5 linked regions of the Kluyveromyces lactis genome follow. Each later gene encodes a partner of the first gene's protein in a complex. Links are inferred from orthologs where the notes say so. Each region holds a gene or a part of one and is shown in the gene's direction. Other genes may lie near its edges.

Region 1 (3,050 bases):
CAACCAAGACGTTTGAAGGTTTTATGTCTCTATGGCATATTCCTAGTGCATGTAGGTAAAGCATACCTCTAGCAATTTGGTAGGCGTATAGTTTAACGTGCTTCAACGGTAACTCCAAGTTATTCTTCTTATATCGTAAAATTTCGTTTTGTAGCATTTCGGGCAAGCATTCCATCGCCAAATGTTGGTATAATTTATGATCTGTTGGTGAGATATGAGTGTAGAAATATTCCAATTTGACAACATTTGGATGGTCCGCAATTCGTAAAATCTCTAACTCTCTAGATTTATACTCAGTCTGAGCAGGAACCTTCTTAATGGCAAAAGGACCCAACCACTTCTGATTATCCGGTGTTAGGTAAGCTTGCACCACCGTGCCAAATGCACCTTGCCCAATTCGCTTATATTCCTTTACGAGCATTTCTCGCTTGACATTGGATTTATTACTGATGACATCATGAGCCACGTATTCATCTAATCTTTGCATAGACATGGCGAATCGCAATAAGGGGAAAGAAGACAGATAGTAACAGATACAAAAGCGATGCGATATCTATCGAATAAGAAAAAAATTACCACTTTTTGTTCGTTGTATTTCGCTCAAGTCTTCAAATTACAAACTTCAACCGTTATTTTGCAAGCAAACCTTAGAATATAGATATGTTCCTAACGGATGTAACGTGGATGGTTCAGGAAAAAAAGGGAAATATTGAATTGTAATGAATCAATAAAATCTGTATTAAATGAATTGATGAAATGAAATCGCTAATATTAATAAAAGCAACACAACAGGGGGAAAACACTCTTACTCAAGCAAGTCAATTAGTCCCTTGCAACAAGTGATGCAGCAGTGTCTATAATGTTTCTTCGCAGTAAATTCTTCGCGCTGCAATCGCTCGGCAAATTCAACAACTAGAAGTTCCCAGAACTTAAACGTTTGAGCACCCTTAGCAGTGTTGTGTCCGTTATCAGAGACCCTATTTGTTACTTTGAAACAAGGTTCTGGTTTATTTTTTGTTTGTTTTTTCCTAATTTCCTAAAACTAAAATTGATTTTCATATTCGGTTTTCCAAGAATCTGATATCAATATGACTGACTGACTACTGACTGAGTTACACAATTATTGATAAAAGCGATATAAAAGACGTTCTAATTGAGGGAACGTTCCAAACAAAATTTAATTCTAAGATCTCCCAGAGCCAGCTTTTATGAAGTTCGACTCTGAGAGTACTACACTCTCTCTAGATATGAATGCACAAACGAAGTTAAATTGGCATTTATAGCATTAATGAGGAATTACTCAGGTTCAGGTCCTATATCCTCCACCTGAACTTTCTCTTGATTGTAGCATCAAGTTGTAGAAATGGTTTGGGGAATGCGAGGTGATCTTCGCCAGTCTGCATATAATATTTCTATCAAATGTTTACCCCATCGCATCTCGGCACTCTTTATCAACGTGATATCTTCCGCCAGTGGACTGCAGGCACTTCACATTAAAGGCTAATCCTTATACACCGGGTAATGACAAGTTAGTCACGTGTTAATGCAACACCGGGTAATGGTTTATGAGCATATCTTGAAAATGAATTGGGAAAACAGAAGATATTTAGAGTTTGCATTTCATAGAGGAATACTATTCGTCTGAGTATGGAGACCTGCATTCGAGAAAGACACAGGTTGTGGTTAATATAAATCGGCGTCGAAAATACACCACGATGCTGAGAACATTAGTGAGACTGTTCAGCTCAACGGCCAGGACAAACCAAGATGTGGCTTCCATCTTATTTTCATCTGTCAAAGGATCAGAAAAGGCTCCAGTGATGGAAGACACCAATGTTGTCCAACCTAATACTCTTCGTGGTAGCAATAAGAAAGGGAGAGTCGATGAAGCAGTGATAAAATATATATTGAACTGCAGATTCACTAAGAACAATACACATTTCACATACAGTGCCGTAATGGAGGATAGAAACTTTTTGGCGAACAATCCACAATTATCCTACAACGAAAAATATCTATACTATTTGAAACTCCCACAACAGGTCAAATTTCATTTATCTACTGGTCATTTAGGGTTCCGTAAAGCTGCCCGTGGTGAATATGAAGCCTCATTCCAAACAGCAACTAAGTTATTTGAAACTCTTTATCAGAAGAAGCTACTGGATAAGAATATAGAAATTGTTATGAGAGACTTCGGTAAGGGAAGAGATGCTTTCATCAGTGCATTGAACGGTAAGGAAGGAAACCTCATCAGACGTCACATATCTAGAGTAGCCGATGCTACTGAATTGAAATTCGGTGGTGTGAAGGCCCCAAGACCAAGAAGATTGTGATTCGGTCTCTCACCATTTCATCTTTCACTAATAGTCTCTGTGTATAGACATGAATTTGGAAAATAATTCGGTATAATAACAAATAATGCATGTATATAAATTTAACGTAACGCACCAGAATTTTCGTTTAAATACATTAAGACAGCAATTCGAAGTATGATTTCACACAATTATGACATTGCTCATGCCTTATAATCTCTGGATGCTAATTTCATCGAAGATTTAAAATTTTCCGGAAAGTAGCGGGACTGTTTTGTGGATGCACGGATTTGGCTTTAGATTTTTTGTAAAAATTGTTAGGTATTTTAGTATTCCATTTTAGGTAATTAAAATTTCAATTGGAGGTTCTAAAAAAAGGAAAGGCAGAGGAGGCGTTCCGGCTGCCAGGTTCTCACCGTTCTCCTTCTGTCGCTCCGTTCGAGTCTAGTCTTCCCAGCGAGAGGACTCTGATTCTGCCCACTCTCCCCTCTACTCGCACTGACATTCTGAGGTGCGTAGGCAGGAACTGCTGTCCATCCAGCCTATCATCCATTCCTTCCCTGAGCCTGGAGCCATATCCTGTACCTGCAAATCACAGTGCGATTGTGCTACCTGGCCAGGGATACCCTGTTCGTGCTGAATATTCCTTTCGACTACGGACAGTTTCGCTTGCGACCTTGTATCTGTATTGTTTCATCAAAAGTAATATTGAACGTTTTAAAGAATATTTCAATATCA
Region 2 (3,012 bases), on another chromosome or scaffold:
AATCATATCATCAAGATCAACCCGCTAGCGAACTGGGACTTCAACCAAGTGCAAAGTTATATCCGTGATAATAACGTACCTTACAATGAATTGCTAGATCTAGGATACCGGTCGATTGGTGATTATCACTCTACACAACCTGTTCAAGAAGGTGAGGATGAGAGATCAGGCAGGTGGAAGGGTAAGGCAAAGACGGAATGTGGGATTCACGAGACAAGCAGATTTGCACAATATCTCAAACAAAGAGAATGATATGTGTTTGATATATATATATATATATATATCTTTTCTGTTGTATACTGTGCATGCGGCATCTCTTATCTAGCTTTATTTATGGTTTCAGTTTAGATACACAACGTGACATTTTTAGTCACTTAATGTACATATTATATATGTTGCGACTAAGGTGGAAAGTGTATGAACAGTTGCGAACCTTACCCATGCAACTTGGAAGAGAAACCCCCAGCTTGAATCTCTCATCAATTCTCATGACTGTCAAAGCCTAAAGTTTTTGGGCTGATTCACACTATGATAACCGGGAAAAAATGAATCAAAGGTTCTGAAAACATGCGTCCGGACAGATACGAAAAGCAACATAAACCAAAGAGAGAAACTTATATAACTCTGTATGATAGGAGTCAAGTAGCTCATTATTCCAGGATGATTAACATATTGAATCATAGAACATAGCTGACACTAACAAGCAAGGATGTCGTTGTCTAAATTACCTTTCGTAAAGCACAAGAAGAGTTTACCAGATGATGAGCTCATCAAGGTCTTATTTGTAAACCCTAATTCAACCCAAGCAATGACCGATGCCTGTTTAAAGATATTGGCTGGTCATGTAGCTCCAGACACTGTGGTTTACGGGTACACTGCACCATTTGGTAAGGCACCCAATGTGATTGAGGGTCATCTCGATGGTATTCAATCTGCAATTGCCGTTATGGAAGATGCTTACGATGTAATAAACCAAGTCGATTGTGTACTTGTTGGATGTTTTAGCGACCATCCATTGATAAAATCTATCAGGGAAGAATTTGATGATGTTGTGTGCATGGGTATCGTGGAAGCAGCCGTGTACTCATCCAGGATCATTGGATCAAAATTCGGTATTCTTGCATCAATTTACAAGGCTCAGTTAAGAGATGAGGAAACCATAGCAGGTCTTGGCATGTCCACATTTTGCGTTGGATTGTTAAGTTCTGGTATCAAAACCGTATCGGATTTGGTCAAAGTGGAAGAAGCTGAGCTTCATAAAACAATGTCTAAAACTGCCTTGACCTTAGTAGAAGAATATCACGCAGACACCATCATCTTGGGCTGTGCAGGGATGAGCGACTTGAAAAATGCTGTTGCAAACGCTTTACAGCAGAATGGCTATGAAGTGCCAATTATTGACGGAGTGGTATGCGGGATCAACATTGTTTCGGCTGTCTACAGAAGTGGATTACACGGTACATCCAAACAAGGAGCTTATTCAAGTGCTAGAAAGGCAAGAGAACTAAGAGGTGATACAGTTGAAATCAAGAAGTCATGATACTGGGAGTCCATTGGCATGGTGCTGTGTTCATTCCATTCCTTATATAACGTGTATAGTGCCAATATAGTCAGGTGACCTCCATCAAGAACGTTTAACATGATATGAACTTCAAGCTTTGAAAGAGAAAAAAACGAGTTTGGAGCTTCTCCGGAAGATGAAGAATAAAGTTCAAGCATTAGTGGATGCATTCTTTGGTTTTCGGCGTATTCAGTATCTGTGAGACTAATTTCGATAGTTATCCTAGCAATTAGTATATCCAAAGGAAGGCTGTAGATATAAACAACATGGGTGGTTTCAGATTTCCAATCAAGACAAAGCTTCCTTCAACGTATTTGAATGCTAGAGTTATCAGAGACAATTTCAAGAGACAGCAAGTTGCAGACAATGAAGTCACTGTAAAGGCATTGAAATTCATTGCTAGAAATACTACTCTACCTCCAAGGTCGAGAATGGAAGCTCAGTTACAACTTTCTGTGATGCCTAACTATACAAGAATGACACAAATCAAGAACAGATGTATTGAAACGGGACACTCCAGATCTGTTCTGAGTGATTTCAGATTGTGTAGATCGCAATTCAGAGAACTTGCCAGGAAAGGTGATCTACCTGGTGTGAAGAAGGGTGTATGGTAGATGCAGTTTAGCATCTTTTGTTCCCTGATACTGAGGTTAGTAAAAGTTGGAATCTTTCTCTCCCGCATGCATGTAAATATTTTTAATTAACTCAACATATATAAAGCTTGTGTATAGACATTAAAAAATACAAGGTTTAATCAATGTAAAAGAAGCGCTTGGGTTGTGGCAAAGCAAGTGACATTTATAAGATGAGAAAGTGCAGTATAGTGGTGATAATATTTAAGTTTCTTACAAAATAAAAGAGTGTAGGTATATAAAAATAATTTATAGGTAGAAACACACAAAACAGAAGAGAGGTAGAAGAGAAAATGTCAGGGAGGGATGGTCACTTGAAACCAGATGGAAACAAAGAAAAGAACGAGGAGAAAAAATTAGGAAATTCAACGGAAATTAATTGCTGACATTTGTATATTAAAAATTGATCAATTAGAAACAAATGAATATGGTTTGTTCGTCTTCCCTCTTCTTTTTTTTTGGATCTTTACTTCTGCCAATTAACGGTTGTAAACAATTCCCATCGCCTAATAATAATATCCTCAAAGCTCAGTCCTCTGTTTCAAGGTAAATTCAAATGAAGTTGGAGATAAGGGGGTGAAGAGTGGGTTTGGGGCGTGCGTGTCTTTATTTACAAGACGACACACTTCTTTTTTTTGCTAGACTTAGTCTTAGGTTTGCTCTTACCTTGTTTACCGACCAAAGAAGCTCTTGTAGCAGCCTCGAAGACTTCTCTGACACCGTAACCGGTCTTGGCAGAACATTCGATGTAGTCAACAGCACCGATTTGGTCAGCGACTTCTTGTGCTTGAGCCTGAGACACAGGTTGTAATCCTTGAG
Region 3 (3,328 bases), on another chromosome or scaffold:
AGGATGATGGGGTAACATGTTCAAGCTCACTTACTGGTGTTGATACTGATGAATCGAGTGTGGGGTTTGTCGGTAATTCTTCCTTAGGAGCTATAATATCATCATCCTTCAGTATAGCACTCAAAAGCCTTGAGACTAGCGGGCCACAAGACACTTCTTCATTGTCAAGTACACCATCCGAAATGTCATTCCCTGATTTCTTAGGCAAGATACTAATAGGATCACTGATAGGTGGAGGAGTCAGATTCGCAATGTTTTGATTATTGTCTTCTTTCAACCACACGTCTGTGTATAGTGGTCCTAATTTAGGAATTGTGTATGGAGTCACTTCGGGGTCATAAGATTTCACAAACTGCAAATTTTGTGGCATGATGAATTTGTTTTGAAGGAATTTGATATCGTCATCATTGAATTCTCTGTAAAAGGCCTCGATGGATGAGAGAAAAGTATTAAACTGAATTTGGTTTGTGGGTTTAGGTTTCGAGAAATCCATATCAGGCAGCTCACCGGGTAGAAGTTCCTTTAAGTCATTTGTAGGATAGCTTACTACCCCGTATTTCTTTTTCAAATATTCCTCACCAGTAGCTTCAAGACCCTCCTCTTGAAACAAACCTAATCTCATTGCAGCAGCAGGTAACGTTTGAGATACTACAAATTCAGACTTGGGGTTTCTAATGTTAGGATCATTTTCCATTTTATCAATATCTAGCTTTGCTTTCTTTGATATGTGACCATCTGATGATAAAACTTCCGCTTCTTCAATAGTATCTTGTGGCCTTTTGTCTGTCTCCTCGTTCTCTTCTGTAATTGATCTTTTATCCGATACGACTTCGCTAGATTCATCAAGTTTTTTATTAATTGAATCATTTTCTGCGTTCTGGGCTGCAAGGTTTGTTGCAGCTTCTGCTTCCTCCTTCTCTTTTTGTTTCTCATCTTCGAGCCTTATTATATCTTCCCGCATTTCCTTGATTAGGTCTAAATTCTCTTGATCACTAGCTGCAATTTTCTCCAAACATTTTCCTAGATTTTCTAGTTGATCTTTAGTTGTTTGCAAAACCGGTTTCTCAGGAACCGACCTCACGTATTTACCGTTCAGTAAACCTATGTCATTCTCAAAAGTCAAGTCTAAAGACTTCAGCATCGAATTTAGAATATTCGACGGTTCATGTAGCCCAGCGTCATCTCTTTTCTGCTCTCTTATTCCTTTGCCTCTTCGCGTATTCCTTGACATAATATACCAGTGGTGTTTTACTGAGTGAAGATCTGGTTTAGCAATCTACTTGATTCCACCTTTGTCCACTGTTGACTATCGTTAAAAGATAGGCTGCTTTCCAGCTTTGGCAATATTAATGACTTTGTTCTGTTTGTTGCTTCGTTGTTTATCTTCCGTTACTTTGACAGATATTTTCATAGAAAATTTATTATCACGTGACCTCCGCCTTTTCTCTGCAAAAAATTTTCCAAGTTTACCAGAAATACCAATAATCCTCGATACAACACCAATCGGAACCAGAGAAAGCCAATTATATTCAAAGTGTTAAAAGGTCTGCGATAACGTAATCATCTTAGGCACTCAACAATGATTACTGGTGCTAGCGTGCAACGTACTGCATTCTTTTGTAGTAGACGTTTAAACTCCACCGTTACGAAAGAAGTTGCGACCATTTCCTCAACACTTTACAAGGATCCATCGAAATGGATCGGTTTGGATAGTAAAGATATCATAACGTTGCACAATGAAAGAAAGGCAAGACTAGGGCCCCTATATAAGCCTTGCGAAGAAGAGTTGAAAGCATTGTTACCCACTGCCGAAGCGTCTGGAATTCCAGCAAAACTTTTCAAAGAGTACTATCATAAGACACCTGAAGAAGTTGAGGCAGAAATGGGCATTGCAAGAGGTCTAGACGAGCATGTCAACTTGGATCAATATCAGTTTGATGATTTGCCATCACAATCACAAATTTTAGTTCATCAACATCGTGAACAACGTTTCTACAATCGTTTGGCAGCATTTGAACTTCCTTTACTTGCGCAGTATCGTCAAGAATATAAACGCCCTTCAACAAAGACTCATCCAGTAGCTTATCGTTATACAACATATCTTGGTGAAGAACATCCAAATTCTCGTAAGGTTGTCTTATCTGTGAAGACATCGGATCTCGGCTTGGAACAGAGGGAACTGCATAAGCTGCGTCTATTGGCAAAAACACGTTATGATTCTACTACAGATACTTTGAGAATGTCTTCTGATCGCTATGAAGAACCAGCTCAAAATGCAAAGTACTTAAACAGCATTCTTCTAGAATTACTCAAGGAGGCTAAAGATTTGAAAGACGACTTTGCTGATGTTCCTCTCGATAAAAGACATATCATCGCAAGACAATTGCGTAAGAAAAAGCGTGGGTACGAGTTCCCAGAAGAGTGGAAACGTCCACAAGATGCTCCAAGGAAAACAGTGGATCTTGTTGAGCTATTACACAAACAGCTTTGATCAACCTTTTAAAACACACAAAAACAACTGTAAATAGCCATATACGCACAAATTAATGACCAATTTAATTGTATAGCAACAGCCATCTATTCGTTAAAGGGTGAAAAGACAAACCTTACATATCTAAGATGATAGCTACTTCAACTGTAGATTTAGTTGATCAGCAATGCTAAATGAGATTCTTTCAAACTTGTCACCGAGTAATTCAAAGAAGTAAACTGACGGCGGAATATTTGAAGAAATTTGGCACTGCATAGATGCATTGTAGATAAGTTATACGTTGACTTGACATTAAAATATACCACTCATTATTTTGGCATAGTATTTGAACAACGTGTGTACGAAAATAAGGTCCATGTACTGAATTGCACGTAAGTGTTTTACAAATTAAAGGATCAAAGATTAATTTCAATTGGGAAAGAATAAAAATAAGTGAAGTGATATGAAAAATTTGAAACAATACCACAAAGAAAATCTTCAATTACTCCACAATGCTTCCTATAGCAGCTTGTGCTGTGAAGATCATCCCATACAGATTAAATGTATTATTCTTATATTTCTTGTATATTATTACACATTGTTACAACTATTTTTACAAAGAAAGAAAGAGTGTCATCATATATATGTATGAAGCATTATATAAATCCCAGCTCGTTAGTCCTTAGATTTGTCTTTTCCCTTATCCTTCTTCTTTTTCTTCTTTTTCTTTTCACTGGAAGCATCTTCATCATATGGTCTTTTTTCAATATGGGGCAAGCCGAAATCTTCGGCAGATTGCAAGTAATCAGGAAGTGGAACAGGGGCAGAATTTGGACCTTCATTTAATGTTAAGGTACC
Region 4 (2,889 bases), on another chromosome or scaffold:
TTGTATATCCTCGACCAGTACTTCCCCCCCACTAAGTCCTGATATTTTTTTAATACAGCGTCAAACTCTTGTCTGATGGGGACCATAGCTGTTATATGATCGTGCAAACCTGAAGCCAGCATCTTAGAGACACGATCTCCTCCATGACCGTCAAATATAGAAATATTCAAAACGTTTCTCTGGGGAGGTAATTCTTTCCAAAGTTTCATCTTAGTAGCGATCGATTTTTTTGAGTTTAACAACGAGCTTTCGGCTATAGTTGTTGGCAACTTCAGAATATTCATAGAATAAGAATCCTCGTTGTATAGTCTATTAATCCTTGAAGTCGCATGCCCGATGAAACCAGGATATTTGTTCAAATGAACCCTTAACATATGAGGTTTTGTTTCTTTCGAAGCAGCATGGCTTGCCGCTGTAGTTTGTAGAGTCGATCTGCCAGCTGTCTTTTGTAGAAGATCAGCTGGCCTTAGGTGAATGAATGACTGGGTTTTACCCATCTCGGGTTGGCTATAATCACAATCGTGTTCAACTTAACACAAATGGTAACACAAGAATTAGCCTCACAATATCTTATAACCGAATACCCCAGACATATAAGAAAGGTTCAAGAATGCCAATTGAAAACACTTCTCTCGTGTGTGGCGGATGCATCAACGAGCCAAAAAAAAGAGCCAAACCCTTGTATATTCACTAGACTTTATTATAACTAGATTTATTTTCCTTTAAAGTGTACCTACTGTTTTTTTTTTTTTTTTTTTTTTTTTTTTTTTCTATACATTCCGCAATAGTGCTTCAACACTACCCTCTTCATATAGGAAACCGTCAAAATCTCACTAGTGTTTCATTACCACATGCTAGCGTGATATGGAGGTGTATATAAGCCATTGCTATCGTTAACTACCGTATATGGGGCTATCTTGACGCATTTTGCCAAATAGTGACGGAACGGCTGTTACTCGGCAGCAGACACCAGGAGAGAAAACTATCTGATCTTATGCACGTGATACAAAAACTAAAAAAATAGACAGTCGCTTTAACACCAGCCTACCTAATTACTCGAGCCCGGAAGTCAAACTACCCCGCAATATTCTATCACGCATAATTCAAGTAGTTGGTTCAAACACCCTATTTACCTGCACCCACCTTACAGCTTGATCGTCCATAATCCAGTATAGTTGTTTGATATTTCAAAATAGGAAATACAACAACTACCTCAGTAAGGACTTTTCTCGTAATTCGGAACCCGCATAGTGCAGCTGGTGTTCCCAACGAAATGAACAAAATCTTTTAGGTTAAAAGATCTCTCAAACCATGCACATTTTCTGAACAATTTCCCGGACATCAGCAACAACACATATTCGATCACATGACTTCCGAATATTTTCAACTATGATTTTTCATCATCAGAAACTGACAAAAAATTATGAAGCAAATGTTGAATTGAAAGAGTTATATCAATCGGTCAGTGAATAAATGTTGGCGTAAGTTCAACTCTGAGTTTGACTTACGTGCACTGGATCTTAAGAAACAATCCTGTCAAAGATACCAATGTTCAAACAGGTTTTCGGATTGAGCAGTAGTCTGACTAGACTATCGTTGCGTAATGTTCGTTCAAGCATAGCATTTGCACCACCACTGCAACAACGTTCTTTCTCATATACTTCACCAATACAAGCCACGTTGAACCAAATAAAGAGAGGGGTCAAGCCTCCTGGCCGTAAGAAGATCACTGAATCCCCAGATTTGGAGGTATGCCCGATTCGTAAAGGAGTTGTGCTAAGAGTGATGGTATTGAAGCCAAAGAAACCTAATTCTGCTCAGAGAAAAGCTTGTAGAGTGAGATTAACCAATGGTAACATTGTTTCTGCATATATCCCAGGCGAAGGCCATAACGCACAAGAGCACAGTATTGTATATGTTCGTGGAGGCCGTTGCCAAGATTTACCTGGTGTGAAATATCATGTTGTCCGTGGTGCCGGTGATTTGGCCGGTGTTGTCAACAGAATCAGCTCCAGATCGAAGTACGGTGTGAAGAAACCAACAAAGGAGTAAGATACCAACAGTATTATATTCTGAATTATCAACATAAAATATATACTTATGTTTATAAACTAGACCTTCATGTAAATATGCGAATAATCTATCTACTGGTTGCTCAATCTTTATGGCCACGTGACCGAAATTTTGTTCGGATGGTTTTTCCATCATAGAAAAGTGCTGAAAATTTAGTTAACAACGATTTCAACGAAAAGGTGCCCCTATTGGAACAAACAGAAAGAAAGATTCATCATCTGCAAGGAATTGGGAAATTTCGAAGAGACTAAACCTGCTCAGTGTTGAGGAAACTTACAAGTTGATATTGTTCCAAGTCAATTGAAGAAAAGCTCATAGACTTGTTCGAAAAAAAAGCCTGGGTGAACACTTGTGAGCCTTCTAATATCAATACATAATAATGTTACACCTTAAACCATACAACCTATTGGTCCAAAAGACATTAACAGAAGCTTTGGAAGCTTACAACAATGGGTCTCCTTTAACTTTGGACAGAATCATCTCCGACTTTGATTATACAACGTTACACATCACCAACGATGGCACTGATAAGTCGAACCTATTAGTTTCCATCAGAACCAAGGCTACGCAATCTTGTAATGAGAGTGGGAACGATTTACAAGGGTTCTTGCAGGCAAAATTCGATGAAGTACCAGGTTTGGCTCTATCATCTGCTAAAAAGGAGGCCGGTTACGATTTTACCATTACTGTTGATCTATCTCAAATCACTGCGCAATCTATTGTGCAAGCATCTTTGTTTAAGATCCTTGTAATGTCATATCCATTCTATTTAGCGTTTGGCCAGAGTAATGCTCTTTCTCAATTGAATGAAATAGA
Region 5 (3,516 bases), on another chromosome or scaffold:
TGTGTTCTCCCAAGTCTCATCCTAAAAATCTGACACCGTGAATTGCTACCCGACACACTATATGATAGTTTATGGGTACAGTAGAATTTACAATTTTGACCAATCAACCAAACTACGATCCCAGATCAATCATGAGTATGCTTTCGCATTGATAAAATTTAAACAGCGAAGAGCAGACAGCTTTGTTCAACGTCTGTTTGTCATTACAAAAAGTATATTCGCAACAAGTACTTCTCAAATCCGGCAGATAACACTGAAAAAAATACCTAGATAATAATATTCGGGTAACAATGAAAGTTTAAAGTGACGGAGAAGAGGAATGTGTAACGTTCTGGAATCGGAACGGTCATTTCTGGTATCTGTCGAGCATTTTATTTTTCATGCGAGGAAGAAGATCTGGCTAGAACCATTACTTCTTGTCAGAGAACGAAAACGCTGCATTAGAGAAAATATTAAGAGAATGCTACTGCACGTATTGGCAGGAAAAATAAGAGGAAAAGAAAACTTGCAAGGCCAGGTGGTTTCCTTTCTTACCATATGTATATCACTGCTGGGTAGCGTTAGTAAATGCATTAGTTTGTCAATCTACCTGCGGCATGGAATTTTCACATGACGCACAAGTAAATCACTATTGATGTCGCATTGCCACTAGGGATTGGTTCCAGAAAACATAACTTCTTCCGAATTGATTTCAGATTCTACCTCCATCCATGTGAACGAGTATTTCGTTCCAATATTTTTATATAAATTAACGAGTAACTTATATGGTAATCTTGTCAGATAAGTGGAGTTGATTTCATTTGGAAAGAGAACCAACAGGATTGGTATGTCTCATATGAATTTATTCTCGGACCAAAATTGAGAAAGAAAACATCTGCAGTTTTTCAAAAATTCAGGCATTTTGGGATTACTCTCTCTTCATGCAGGGCAAGACACCAGATCATCTTTATTCTATTGGTCTTCATGTTCCTGCATAACTAAATACTATTTGTATTTAGTTCATTATTTCCTGTAGATAAAGAATCTTTCTAAATGGGTTTTAAAACATAGTAAAATATATACCTAAAAGAAGAGTCTTCGTGATATGAATGTTTCATCTTTAAGGTACTGAAAGGATATGGTACTAATATTGATTCTAATGACAACAAAGCCCGTGTATAACATTGCCAGCTGAAACATGTTGCTCCACTATGTATCAGAAGAATATGTAGTGTTTTGAAAAAAGATCTTCTCTGGAAATTGTATATAGCGATACTAAACCACTAATATAGATGTTTTAGTGACCGGCTTTATTAAAGCAGGTAAGTCGTTGTTTAAGCGACAGAGCTCAATATTGGATGAAACAGACTCAGAAATGAAACAAAAAAACATGTTACCCGGATAGCATTCCATATGATAGTGTCATCTACCATGTAAGGGTAAAGATGCGTGGAACATACCTGAAACATACTCCATGTATCCTCCTTTGAACGTCTGAAGAAGATTTTAAAGATGTGCAACCACTGCTAATCTTACCATACCTTAGTGGGTGGATCTTCAGCTAAGAATTGTGAATTTCTAATCACATGATCAAGAATAATGCTCTCTCATTTGTAACGATTGATCGATTTTCAAAAATTAAAAAAATTTCAATAGTTAATACAGAATGGCAACATACTCAGACATATACACCAGAATAAGGTCTAATATAATTGACACCAGAAGTCTTTTGAAGCAGGTTTAGACAGGTCGAGGAGCAAAATTCAACATAGTGAGTTGCAGCGTCTTTCTCAATAACCCTGATCGTATTTGAGAATGTTCGTCCGTTGTTTCTCGAGCACTGCTCGTGTATTTCAACAAGACCTGTTGAAGAAATACTACTCTCCAGAACTACTCAAGTCTATTTCCTTAGCTGATAAAGTAATTCCTGACAATGTAGAGTTCAAACCACAGACAAATGTTGAATTCTCACCACCATATTTGGATAACTTTGCCACATTACATCCTTATTGGGATTATAAACCAAACTCTCCACATCTACATTCAAGCTCATCTTCGGTATTCGTTCAAGAGATGGAAAAGCATCCAGATTTGACTCCTCCTGTGGGTTCATACTTACAAACTGAAGGCAGATCAGATATACAAAACATTGCCAATAATATCCAACTACAGACGGGGTTCGATGCTCAACATATCGCCAGAAAACTAGTGATGAAACCATTGATCTTAAAGATGGTTTCTAATCAAACTGCAAAAGGTAAAATTCCATCCTTCTATTCTCTTGTGGTTGTTGGTGATAAGAATGGTATGGTAGGAATCGGTGAGGGTAAATCCCGTGAAGATATGGCAGAATCCATCAAGAAAGCTCATTGGGATGCAGTGAGGAACTTAAAAGAAGTGCCTAGATTTGAAAAAAGAACTATTTTTGAAGACATAGACTATAGATACCACGGTGTGAAACTATTCTTGAGAGCTGCTAAGCCAGGTTTCGGTCTAAGAGTCAATCACGTAATTTATGAAATTTGTGAATGTGCTGGTATCAAAGATTTAAGTGCAAAAGTTTACAAGAGTAGAAATATCATGAACATAGCCAAGGGTACTATAGACGCTATCACCAAGTCTCAAAAATCTATAGATGAAATTGCTCTAGGTAGAGGTAAGAAAATTGTGGATGTCAAGAAGGTATATTACTCTGCTTGATTTCAACCAACTCCATATTTAAATTACTTTCACTTTTTCTCCTATGAAGAAACTATCTGAACAACCTTCACATGATTCAATTACGACCTAGATGATCATTCTCATAAAACAATCAATACTCAGATCTACGTAACCTTGTACATATTAATATCCCCACAACGTCGGAGTTCCAAATTCTTCTTCACGTGACTTTTAGAATATTTCACACTTTTCTGATCTTTAAAAGATTGGAAAATGAAGATGATGAAAGCAGATGAGTAGTATATCTAATCGCGTATAAACATGATTAGAAAAGCTTTAACTTCTTTGCTGTTACTAATTGTTCAAACGCATTTCAATTCTTAGCGGAAGCTACTAGTATCACACAATTAGCAAAGCATATGTTTCGCTTCATTGTGGCTAGGCCATTCACTGTACCAAAGGTAAGGCCGGTAAGACGACTTTATAGCACGGTCAGGACATCGACTGTTGACTGGAAACCTATCAAAACAAAGAAGACACCTACTGAAGGATTTCAAAAGAAGGAATCACGATGGGGTAAGCGTATTTTTCTAGGACTGATGATTGCCATGCCCGTGATCTCGTTCTACTTAGGAACCTGGCAATTAAGAAGATTGAAATGGAAAACCAATCTAATTGCTTCCTGCGAAGACAAATTAACCTACGATCCTATTCCGTTACCTAAAACGTTTACACCGGATATGTGCGAAGACTGGGAATACCGCAAGTGTACTATGACCGGTAGATTCTTGCATGATGAAGAGATTTTTGTCGGCCCCCGTGTTAGAGGAGGGATCAAGGGGTACGTTTTATATACGCCTTTCATCAGAAAGGATA

Evidence for each region. Proteins that work in one complex are often made in the same cells at the same time.
Region 2: MRPS18 (region 1) and MRP2 share a complex: the UniProt entries of both Saccharomyces cerevisiae proteins name them as parts of the mitochondrial small ribosomal subunit. The link is inferred for Kluyveromyces lactis from reciprocal best matches to the Saccharomyces cerevisiae genes MRPS18 and MRP2.
Region 3: MRPS18 (region 1) and RSM24 share a complex: the UniProt entries of both Saccharomyces cerevisiae proteins name them as parts of the mitochondrial small ribosomal subunit. The link is inferred for Kluyveromyces lactis from reciprocal best matches to the Saccharomyces cerevisiae genes MRPS18 and RSM24.
Region 4: MRPS18 (region 1) and MRPS12 share a complex: the UniProt entries of both Saccharomyces cerevisiae proteins name them as parts of the mitochondrial small ribosomal subunit. The link is inferred for Kluyveromyces lactis from reciprocal best matches to the Saccharomyces cerevisiae genes MRPS18 and MRPS12.
Region 5: MRPS18 (region 1) and MRPS5 share a complex: the UniProt entries of both Saccharomyces cerevisiae proteins name them as parts of the mitochondrial small ribosomal subunit. The link is inferred for Kluyveromyces lactis from reciprocal best matches to the Saccharomyces cerevisiae genes MRPS18 and MRPS5.

What each region holds. Positions count from the first base shown.
Region 1 is NC_006041.1:673,295-676,344, forward strand, and holds MRPS18 (mitochondrial 37S ribosomal protein YmS18), read left to right. Parts: upstream 1-1,715; coding exon 1,716-2,333; downstream 2,334-3,050. Other genes in the region: serine/threonine/tyrosine protein kinase MCK1, read right to left, coding at 1-493. UniProt on the Saccharomyces cerevisiae protein: Component of the mitochondrial ribosome (mitoribosome), a dedicated translation machinery responsible for the synthesis of mitochondrial genome-encoded proteins, including at least some of the essential transmembrane subunits of the mitochondrial respiratory chain.
Region 2 is NC_006038.1:936,915-939,926, reverse strand, and holds MRP2 (mitochondrial 37S ribosomal protein uS14m), read left to right. Parts: upstream 1-1,827; coding exon 1,828-2,175; downstream 2,176-3,012. Other genes in the region: MET16 (phosphoadenylyl-sulfate reductase (thioredoxin)), read left to right, coding at 1-252; DCG1 (Dcg1p), read left to right, coding at 710-1,540; Rho family GTPase RHO1, read right to left, coding at 2,804-3,012. UniProt on the Saccharomyces cerevisiae protein: Component of the mitochondrial ribosome (mitoribosome), a dedicated translation machinery responsible for the synthesis of mitochondrial genome-encoded proteins, including at least some of the essential transmembrane subunits of the mitochondrial respiratory chain.
Region 3 is NC_006040.1:1,522,653-1,525,980, reverse strand, and holds RSM24 (mitochondrial 37S ribosomal protein mS35), read left to right. Parts: upstream 1-1,579; coding exon 1,580-2,491; downstream 2,492-3,328. Other genes in the region: histone acetyltransferase NGG1, read right to left, coding at 1-1,231; HMO1 (Hmo1p), read right to left, coding at 3,146-3,328. UniProt on the Saccharomyces cerevisiae protein: Component of the mitochondrial ribosome (mitoribosome), a dedicated translation machinery responsible for the synthesis of mitochondrial genome-encoded proteins, including at least some of the essential transmembrane subunits of the mitochondrial respiratory chain.
Region 4 is NC_006042.1:669,662-672,550, forward strand, and holds MRPS12 (mitochondrial 37S ribosomal protein uS12m), read left to right. Parts: upstream 1-1,548; coding exon 1,549-2,052; downstream 2,053-2,889. Other genes in the region: type 2C protein phosphatase PTC6, read right to left, coding at 1-497; ARC35 (Arc35p), read left to right, coding at 2,453-2,889. UniProt on the Saccharomyces cerevisiae protein: Component of the mitochondrial ribosome (mitoribosome), a dedicated translation machinery responsible for the synthesis of mitochondrial genome-encoded proteins, including at least some of the essential transmembrane subunits of the mitochondrial respiratory chain.
Region 5 is NC_006038.1:1,001,971-1,005,486, reverse strand, and holds MRPS5 (mitochondrial 37S ribosomal protein uS5m), read left to right. Parts: upstream 1-1,794; coding exon 1,795-2,679; downstream 2,680-3,516. Other genes in the region: cytochrome oxidase assembly protein SHY1, read left to right, coding at 3,060-3,516. UniProt on the Saccharomyces cerevisiae protein: Component of the mitochondrial ribosome (mitoribosome), a dedicated translation machinery responsible for the synthesis of mitochondrial genome-encoded proteins, including at least some of the essential transmembrane subunits of the mitochondrial respiratory chain.